Drosophila melanogaster: one gene and its partner. The protein of the gene in region 2 interacts with the protein of the main gene of each other region in a pairwise test. Each region holds a gene or a part of one and is shown on either strand. Other genes may lie near its edges. The genes, in order: CG9360 and CG13131.

Region 1 (3,766 bases), on a different chromosome or scaffold from region 2:
TATGTGGTACAGTGTTGATTGGCTGGCACGGACGTAGAATAACAGAAGCGCAGTGCAGTGAAAGCGTTTCAATTATACATATCTGTTTGTTTGGGGCAGCTGATTTCTACTTTCTAACACCGTGCCACATTAGCTGAGCATTATTTAAATTGTTGTGATATAAGATAAATACTATGAATGCCAGAAAATAAAATTGTTGAGAGTGTAAACTTGGGGTTTTTCGTCTTTTTTTTTTTTGTTACCCAATGAACAAGCAATCCATTGAAAACAGAGATGAGGAGACCAGTTAAGATTACTTTTAGTTCTAATACACATATTATTGAGGTAGTCTCAGAAACCAACCACTGCCTAAATTTATCTGATTGTTATGTATTTTTTTCCCTATTTTCAGATCCGATCGCCACGCCCACAGCGCCAACATGTGGAGCCCACAAAAAGGCCCTACACGACTGTGGGACCTTAGGTTTAGTAGCTGTATATTTATCTTACACTTAATGGTAAGTAAGCAAAATCAAATTGTAAACAATAATACTTAGTGTGAACCATGGGCAAACAAAAAATAGAAAAATATCTAATCTACGGAAAAATGATTACAATTTGTTTGATCAACAAATGTTTCTATTACAGCACATAAATTGTGGTCTGATCTAGGCAATAAATTGAAGAATAGTTAGATACAATTGGGACTTGGTTTGCTAAAGAATTTTAATCACATAACGTTTGGTACATGCATACATACATATATATATATAGATATATATATATTTTTAATAAAAATAAAATATAGTAGATCAACTTCATATGACACTTCCTTGTTGTAAACACAAATAGCAGAAGCATCCAGTGGGAAATCTAGAGTCTAGAGGGTTTCGCCGACAGGCTTGATGGTCAGCTCGTGAATCTGGACATTTGGCGGGGTCTGGATGCAGTAGCTAATGGCATCGGCCACATCCTCAGAGCGGAGCATTGGAAAGTCGGGAATGCCAACGAGAGCCTCCTTGTCGATGATCTCGGTGTCCACGGCACCGGGACTGATGCTCTGTAAAATCACAATGGATATTTATCGGAAAAGGGGGTAATCGAAATGTCAACTTTAAGCTAATCTCTCTCTGCGCACTTACCGTAATCTTGGTCTGGGTCTTGTTGTTGTGGAACTCCTGACGCAGCACCTCCGTGAGAGCGGTGACTGCGTACTTCGATGGCGAATACATGCCCATGGTGATGCCTGGGTTGTTGATCACCCGGTGTCCGGCCACACTGTTGACAATCAGGATGTGTCCATCGTTAACATTGCGTCTCTTCAGTGATTTGAAAGCCTCGCGGGTGCACCACGAAACGCCCAGGACATTGGTATCCAGAATGGCACGAAGATCAGCGCCATTACCCTCGTGGGTGATGCCCACACCGAGGCGAACAATGCCAGCGTTGTTGACCAGCACATCGGCACCGCCCAGTGTTGCATCGATCCATGCGAACGCATCGATCACCTCCTGCTCCTGGCTCACATCGCATTTGCGTCCATGGAAACGACTGGCCTGGTCCGCTGGCAGCGAAGCCTTCAGCTCCTGCAGACGGTCCTCGCGACGTGCAAGACCCACGACCACCAAGCCCTTGGACACCAAATCCTTGCAACAGGCAGCTCCGATTCCCGAACTGGCGCCAGTGACAACAGCAACGCGATTTAGCCAACGATCCATAATTTGTATTTAGTATTTGTTTGTACGGGTCTAATGCAACTGAGATGTATATATATATATATATGTATATACGGTTGGTTTGCGATCGCGACCTGTTCTAGAACTGCTCTTTCATTGCCGATCCACTTGCTTTTATAGATCATCGCAGTTCCCAGCAGAGCCGATCAGTTCCGAGCTCAAATTTGAGAGAGTAATAGTATTCACCACTCGTCTCCATTTTGGGCCGAGTCCAAAACATTCTCGCCGTTCAGCCGGCTTTTTTCTCAATTGTATCGTAATCGTGAGTCAGCATAAAGCCATCGCGCCTCTGTTGATCAACTCATTCTAGAAAGATACTCCAAACATATATGTACTATGCGATAGCTCTCCCCTTTCGATGATGATAAGAATGAGCATGAGTGGACTTCATTATGGGTCAGCACATTTGGTTTGGGCTGGGGGCTTCCAAAGAGGGGGAACACCACATTGTGACACACTCGTTTAAAATGATATGGAATCGCTCGCAATTGTCTACTTGTTGGCGCTCAGTTAAGGTTTAATGTAATAGAATTCAAACATGACGCTTATTTGCTTCGCTTGAAAACTGCAAATCATTGTAAGTAAGCAGTTTGCTTTGCTTTCGAAGGCAAACTCATTGATAGTAGGCAGTTTATAAGTATACATACATATATGTGTATTATCAGACTAACAAAAATCGAATTTAAGCAAGAGCTAAACTTGGGAAACAAATTGATATTTTTATTACGTATACGAACTGTTGACTGTTTGCTATTGACCATTACGTATACGTATTGTTGTCACTGATTTTGTTTCAATATTTCATTCGAATGAGAATATGATGTAAAGCATTGAGATAAGCTTGTGAAAAGCATGACAAGCAAAATGCGTTAAATGTAAATGCAATAATGCTAAACTATTCGTTGGCTTGATCAAGATGTAAAACAATTACAATGCATTTGCATAAACTAATTTATACAGTAACAAGTAACAAGCAACTGGAAGATCTGGCTGCGATCCATACGATCCATTCCTGCATTTCCATTTTGGTCCGTTGTGGCGACGCCAGACAATGTGGCACCAGCTAAGATCGGATGGTATATAGCCGGTTATATATATTCAACATATATATATATATGAATACCCACTTGTTCAGTTGCCACTCATCCAGTAAGTCAACTTTTACTGCGGACGGGGGCAAGGAAAATGCAAATTCCTTGAGCCAGCGACTCGCTCAGACTTCCCTCGATTTGATTTTGCTGATCGAAGCCGATCTATGCGGCATGTGGCAAGGCAGTTTGGGGCAGGTATCGGTATGCAAATATGCAAATATGCAAATGTGTCAGGTGCAACTACCTCCCGAAAACCACAAGCCCCTCAGCATGATTGGAGCACAGGTTCCAGTTAGATCCCCCTCAAAAAGCCAAACGGATGCAGGCCAAGTGGAATTCGCTTTCCCATTTCGATTGGCCTTCATTGGCCATCCAAAAGGGGGGGAACTGAGGACTGCAGACCGAAGACCAGCCTAAAGAGCCTGAAGAGACTGGAGAGACTGGATTGCCGTTTCGTTTTTATTGGCAACACGTTTGTCAGGTGCCAGGTGCCAGTGGAACCGTTAGGAGCCCACCCACAAGGCTGGCCAATGAATTTCGGGATCGGGAATATCAAGTTATAGCTGAAATCCATACAACTTGTAATTCATGGAAGACTTTTACGTGTATTTCTGTTCTTTAAGCGTTTCATCACTTAAACTTCGTCCAGCCCCACATGCATGAAAAAGTTATCTTTTTCTTTCTATGCAATTAACTAAATTGTGATTCTCTGGTTTTTTTTTGTTTTCAATTACAGTTTAGTTTAGTCATAGCTGGTAATGAACTGTGGCCCATGGAACGGCCAGACGGAATGCCCAATATCGTCTCACTGGAGGTGATGTGCGGCAAGGATCACATGGATGTACATCTCACCTTTTCGCATCCATTCGAGGGCATCGTCAGCTCCAAAGGTGAGTCGCCTTCATATGGGAATGTCGCATATAATCCTTTAACTTATCCACTTTATCATTATCCCCAAAA
Region 2 (6,611 bases):
CTAATCTGCTTTAAATTGAGCTTAGGTTTGAGGTTTTGCAATATTTTTTATTGTTGGATGTAGGCTTGCATATGAAACACAATATTTTTAAACGGAATATTATGTGAGACAAAGACATTTGGTTATGCACCATGCAGTTGGACATCTTTTTTTCGCAAAAGTTCTTAAGCCGTTAAACAAACTACCTATATTTTACCTATTTGTATTCCTATGTTTGTAAATGTATACAGTGGAACGCACTAGGCAGGTGCAAGAAACGATTGCAATTGATAATAATCATAGCGAGTACGTACGTAGATGTGAGCGCATACGTTTCTATGTGCATGAATATTTACTCTACATGTAATTAAAGCAAACTAACAACTTAATGAAATTAGTAGTGTAACACGCAATTAACTATTATATAAATAAAGCTAGGCAATTCTGATCTGATGTGAGAGATATTTGAGCGTTTTTTAGTTCTTGCTCGAACGTTTTATTAAAAAATATACAACATACAATTTGTCTTTAAAATTAAACTCGTGGTATCAAAGGGATTAAAAATGAAAATTTACGTCTATAGATTTTAGTTTTAAGTAAATAGATATCCTTTATAACTAAGTTTGCGGTTCATCTATGACCACAGTTATTTGAAAAGTCCTTTGCTTATGTGGAACGCTGATAAGCAAATGATCTTTCGAATTGACTACAAATTCTTGAGGATCTTGGTTCTCAGATAAATCACGTGGTCTTATGATCATACTCCGTCCAATTTGATCGAATGGATCGTAGACTGTGAGCTTGGCAAGAAGTTTGGCACGCGATGGACAACCGACCAGCCAGAAGAAAACACCGGCTAATGCATCATCCTTTGCCATTTTTGGAGCAGCTAGCAAGGTCAGCGGATGATTCCGCATTGGATGTGATCTAAGGGTTAGAATTAGTAAATAGATATATCATTTTTGTTTTCAGTAGCTAACCTTTCCTTCGCTAAGCTGGTGTACAAGAGAAGGGCCACAAAAGTGTTTCCTTTCGTGAGGAGATCGCCATCGAAGCAGAACTGCTTTGGTAAACCTTCCACTACTTGATGGTAATCTTCCTGCGGTGGAGCATCTTTGGTTTTCCAAACTCGATGATCTTGCAGGATATGCGAAGAAAATGTGTTCGACTTTATAAGGCTTCCGCACATGTGAATGGGACAGTAATACTCTTCTACCAGAGATGACTCCAAATCATCCTGCATAATATTTTTTGGATGAGCTGAGCCCATTGTGATTACTTGCCAGTTCAGAGGAGGCAATCCTGCATACTCGGTGGTTCGACAGGTCAGCATCGGTTCCGATGCTCCATCAGAATCAGTTTCTACCTTAGATTCTTCAATTAGACACTTTGGTTCGGAGTCACTTGAGGAGTGCAGGTTGGCTATAAGACGTAATGGCTTTTGACTTGAACTTAATTCCGTGAAGGAATTTGAAAGAGATATATCCTCTTCTTCATTCAAAATGACATTTGGTTCAAGTTCTAAGTTTTCTTGTGTAGAGTTTGCATTATATTCATCGAAGGCGCTCAATTTGTTTGTAAATGGCTCCACAAATTTTTCAACTGAATCTGAATCAGTCGATTTTAGCAACTTTATCGGTTTAGTCATAATTTTTTTAATCTTCTGTTGCAAGGATTTGTCTATTTGTTTTTTAATCGCATTGCTCAATTTTGAGTGATTGTACTTTTGTAACGTAATGCGGCTCTCCTGGAAAAATGTATCATTTGAATTTTCTGTATTTTCTTTAGATCTCGTAAATGTATTACTAACTGCCGTAATGTCAGTCTTTAAACTGAATTCTTTTATTGGGTTCTCTTCTTTTCTTAAACCATCTAATTCTATCTTATAGCTCATATTGTTGTCACTTAAGGAGCTAAAATTAGCATCTGTTAATTCTGTGGACTTGGACTTTCTGTTCTCGTTTGCCTTCATGCATTTGTTACTCTTTTGATTTTCATAATCAGGTAATTTGTCATTGGGATGGTTAAAACTATCTGCTTTTCGTGTGGTGAACGACAATTCAAGATTTTCGTATAGAGTGCTACGACTTTCGAATTTTTCTGGCGGAGATGGATCAACAGAATGACACGGGTCTTTGTGGTTTATAGGTTGCTCCTTTGGACTCGCTATATGAGGTATTGGAGTACAGCTTCCGCTAATGTTATCCGAACTTCGATAGGATAGCAGCTCGTTGGGACTAATGTCAGGGATGCGAAACTCAAAGAGAGACGAAGGCGGATCATCCGGAAGAATATTCTCCTTGATATAGCATTTCGTGGCTTGACCGATATTCACCAACTCACCAACATAAGTAGGAACCAGTATTTTGGGGATAACTAGACTCCTATGAGATACAGTCTCGCAGAATTGTATCACTCCCCAGTTGAACGATGGCTCCTTATGTCTACGTAATTGAAAGTTATTATCCGATATTTGAGATTGGTTTAAATTCACAACTTTAAGTGCGATTCTGGGTCGTTTTTGAAGACATTCGTGGTGTATCTTGGAAGGAGTGATCTTTGATTGATCATTTACTTTGGCTGGATTGTTATCCCTCGGTGGGATATGATCTATTTTTTCTTGTAGATTTAAACATTTTGAAGTGCTATGATCTTTTATTGGAGTCTGTGATTCCGAAGAATCATCCTGATAAATTCGTTGTGCTTTCCTTTGAATGTTTGTATTTATGGATTGCAGTCTTAAATTTTCCTCTTTTGGTTTGTCATTCGTAGCTTTTTGTTTTTGCATACGTAGGGTTTCTCTAAAAATCTCGGGAATTACTCCTTGATCTGCTAGTTTTAGGGATTTCTGCCCTTCGTGTTCGTGTTTTTTACATTCCTGTGCTCCAGAAAAGGATCTTAAGCTATTGAGCTTTTGCTTTATGGCGCATCCTATTTTTTTATTTAGCCATATTTGATTCGCATCGGATTTTTTTGGAATTCTACTATCTTTTATTTTAATTTTAGCAACTATATCTTCACGATGCTTTTGTTGTCCGCAGCGAGCACACTTATATAATGTCGATTTGGGTTTGTTATCACAAAATCGTTCCCAAATGGAATTGCTTATGCTTAGTGTTTTTGAAACGGGCTTGGAATAATCATTATAGTTGTTTGTTTTATTTGAAGAAAATACACTGTGCTCATTTGATACATTACTTTTCAAAGAAACCGATTCAGGGTCCTCGACGAACATGTCGTTGATCGGCTTATTAATATCCTCCAATTCTGGTATCTTGTCATCATCGCAGTTTCCATTTGAGCTTTTCGATTCCTGTGAGCTGAAAACTTTGTCCATGATTGAGGTTAAAATGGAAGATCTTTCGAAGTCTTCCAACGCTTCCGGTTTATTTTCCCGATTGTTCTGCTGAGTAACTGCCGGTTTGGAGGCCAAGTTCTTGGCTGGGCTGGTTTTACCTGAAATATGGCATTCGTTTCCAATGTTATCAATGGTTTTCTTAAGATTTTTACGAACTGAATCCGCCATGAATAGGATGCCTGATAGATTGTCAGCGATTGGACTCTTTGTGTCCTTAGTAGAGCTCAACTGAAAGTTCAACGATTCAATGCGATTGTTGCGCAAATCCTGTCGTGGTTCGATGTGCAGTGATTTCGGTCGATGAAGCATATAACGAGCGTTATTCACGACAAGAGCATCTTCGGATGGACCTTCATAGTGATCAAATGGACAAAACTGGCTAGCCAGCTCGGAATCGGTCGATTGCGAGTCCTTACAATTGGAGCTACTCAATCCACCACCCATCTCTCTGTCATCCGTCGAGTTCTGGCTGCTCAAGATGTTGGTTAAGACTTTGGAAAGTGGTGGCAGCGGGCGACTCCTGTGGCTGCGTGGTGGACGAATGCTGTTCCTGCTCCTCTTGGATATAGCTCCCCCGAAGGTATCCGTAATGGGACTTTGTAAGGGTATAAAGTTACTGACAAATAGATTGTTGTAGTTCTGTAGCGGGCTGTTTTTTGGATTAAAAACGTTATGGGCCATGGCCACCAGGCTTGGCATCTCCGAACGTGGTGATTCCAATTCTTGACGCGGAGGTGGTGGTGGTGGTGGTGGTGCTGTGGGCGATGGCGGTGATGAAGGCAATGGCGATAGCGTTGGAGATGACGACGGCGTCGAAGGTGGCGGTGCTTTGGGCGCCAGCTGTCGACGACTCATCATTCCCTTCGGTTTCGAGTGCAAGCCATGACGCCCCGGGTACCGTTTGCACTTCATCTCTTTGGGTGCTTCAGTACTTTCCTGGCCAACTTCAGCTTTGGCCAAGCCACCACACTTGTGGCAATTTGTCCGGCAACAATTCTTGGCTTTCGGCTTCTTGCCCCTAATGGTTACCTTTACCCGAGTCTTTTGGCTTTTTTTGGGCTCCTCCACGTGGCTGGGCTCTGGTATAATCGTCTTCTGCTCCTCGGTGCTCTGATCTGCATCCTTATCGCTGGAGGAATCGAGTCCAGCCTGGGGGCGCCTGGCCAATCCGCACACCTGGCAGATCAGACGATGGTTCACCGGGATGTGGAGCACCGCCCGCGGCAGTTTTCCGCACAGGCACCACTCCCGCGGCCATGCAACTCCACTACTGGTCATGTTGTTCATGTACAACGAGTACAACTTGTAGAAGCGAAACATCAAAAGCCAGCTATTTTGATTTTTAGACGGCCAATCAGGTCGACTTACTTAACAAGCAACGAAATGGCACATAGATTCCGGCAATTTTCGTCAAATATGTTTTCTTAACTTTTAGTTTTATCACACATTCCTAAATATATAGTCTATATGTTCGTTGTTAACGGGTACTTAAAATATTTAGACATATTTGTCAACTCTATTTCGAGCTTATGTTTCGAAAATTAGGTTTTTTATGTGAGTATTGATGGTAAAATGACGAAAAAACTGCTAAAAGGCTAAAAAAATTGATACATTTGCACCAGCAGTTTTTCGGCCTTTAAAGTAACTTGTTATTAAATCATTAAATCCGATTGATTCTTTCAGAACTCACAATCGACTATATTCTTAATTAATTTCATTCAAGCTGTATGTTCTGGAATTATTAAAATTTCTATTGTCTTTGTTTGCGGCTTCTGTAATTTGCAATTGAAGTTTGTGTGGCCGAATGGCTCTGATTGTACGTGTTTCTAGCCACTCACTCAGTTGGGAAATTTAATTAAGTTTCTGCTGCATTTTTAATATACGCATTCAATGGAGTATTATTGAGTTTTTTGCACTGTTGTTCGAATAAAGTAGATTTTGCTGAAAGCCAGACAGCGTCCTTCGAGAACAACAGTTCGCAAAATACTATTTAATATAGTATGCATACCCGCCCACTTCCTGCAAAAGGAGATTAGTTTCATGCCATTTTAAGTGAAAATGCATGTTTCATATGCAATTACTGCTCGGGGAAAAGGATTACAGCACACACACACAAACATATCTACAAATATATGTATTAACACTTATAATTGACAAGCACACTTCACTATGCCATTCAATCGTAGTTGGAATTTATTTCAATTTTTACTGCAATAAATATGCAAAATGCATTTAGCAAGCGCAAGGTGCATGCAGCTTGACCCAATTTCTCGACTCCTTCGGCAGCATCTTGTTTAATTAACTTTATAGCATTTGATGGATTGGCCTAATCTCCCGCCCATCATCGAGCCAACCCGTTGGCCAAGCCAAGTCAATAAACACATTAAAAGCGCATCGCCTTACAAAATGCTCTGCATCTTCGGCTCATTGAGCAGATTTTGAGGAGCAAACTTGAGAGTTTGAGGCCAAGGCGTTGGGCAGCGACTTTATGCACTCAAATCAAGCAGGACGATAAATTATGCAACCAGTCGATATCCTGCCGGGAATTACCAAGTTCCCGTCGCACGTTCCTCTGTCCATTTTGAATTACACGCCGGCTGGACGGGATTTATGCGCGCCACTGGCCATAAAAATATTATTCCCAGACTACAGACTATAGTCCCTCCGAATCGGCGCCTAATTGTTCAGCATCGATTGTATTTCAATACATTCGACTACGAGGGACACTTAAAAAAAAATACGAACTTATTGCATTTCAATAACTGATGCATTGCAAAACTATTGCATCTTTATGTTGAAAGCACTTGAAAAGATGTTTCAAATAGTGCTATACTCGTAGCATATTTTAAGATACCTTTAACCTCGCATATACAATTTTTTGACATTTCTGAGATAAAAAACTTTTTAATTATACCTCTGGGTTTATAATCACATTTCGTCCTTGATCTTGGAAAGCGTTTCTTACCCTGTACATGACGACAAAGTCAAATCGATGTCTGCGATTGGAGCAACAGAAATTATTTACTCCCTGGTGAGGCATTTTAATGCGTTTTTATTGCGATACTTTTAGCGTCATTTCATTTTCGGCATTTTTCTTTGGCCATGATGGCATTTTCCATGACCCCATCCCCTGGCATGGACCCACCCATTATGCCCCTTTTGCTTTGGCTTCGCCAGCCGTAATTTTTGTACATTTTTGGCGTGGCTTTTAGTTTGGCGTTTATTGCATTTCCTTCTGCATTTAAGGAACGGACGCCCGACCGGAAATTTAATG

Evidence for each region.
Region 1: the proteins of CG13131 (region 2) and CG9360 interact in a two-hybrid assay, tested with the Drosophila melanogaster proteins (one large-scale study listed by BioGRID).

The regions. Positions count from the first base shown.
Region 1 is NC_004354.4:11,762,785-11,766,550, forward strand, and holds CG9360 (uncharacterized protein), read right to left. Parts: upstream 1,807-3,766; 5' UTR 1,698-1,806; coding exon 1,122-1,697; intron 1,040-1,121; coding exon 860-1,039; 3' UTR 690-859; downstream 1-689. Other genes in the region: m (miniature), read left to right, coding at 420-497, 3,543-3,696.
Region 2 is NT_033779.5:10,012,675-10,019,285, forward strand, and holds CG13131 (uncharacterized protein), read right to left. Parts: upstream 4,790-6,611; 5' UTR 4,658-4,789; coding exon 3,490-4,657; intron 3,436-3,489; coding exon 960-3,435; intron 907-959; coding exon 597-906; 3' UTR 553-596; downstream 1-552.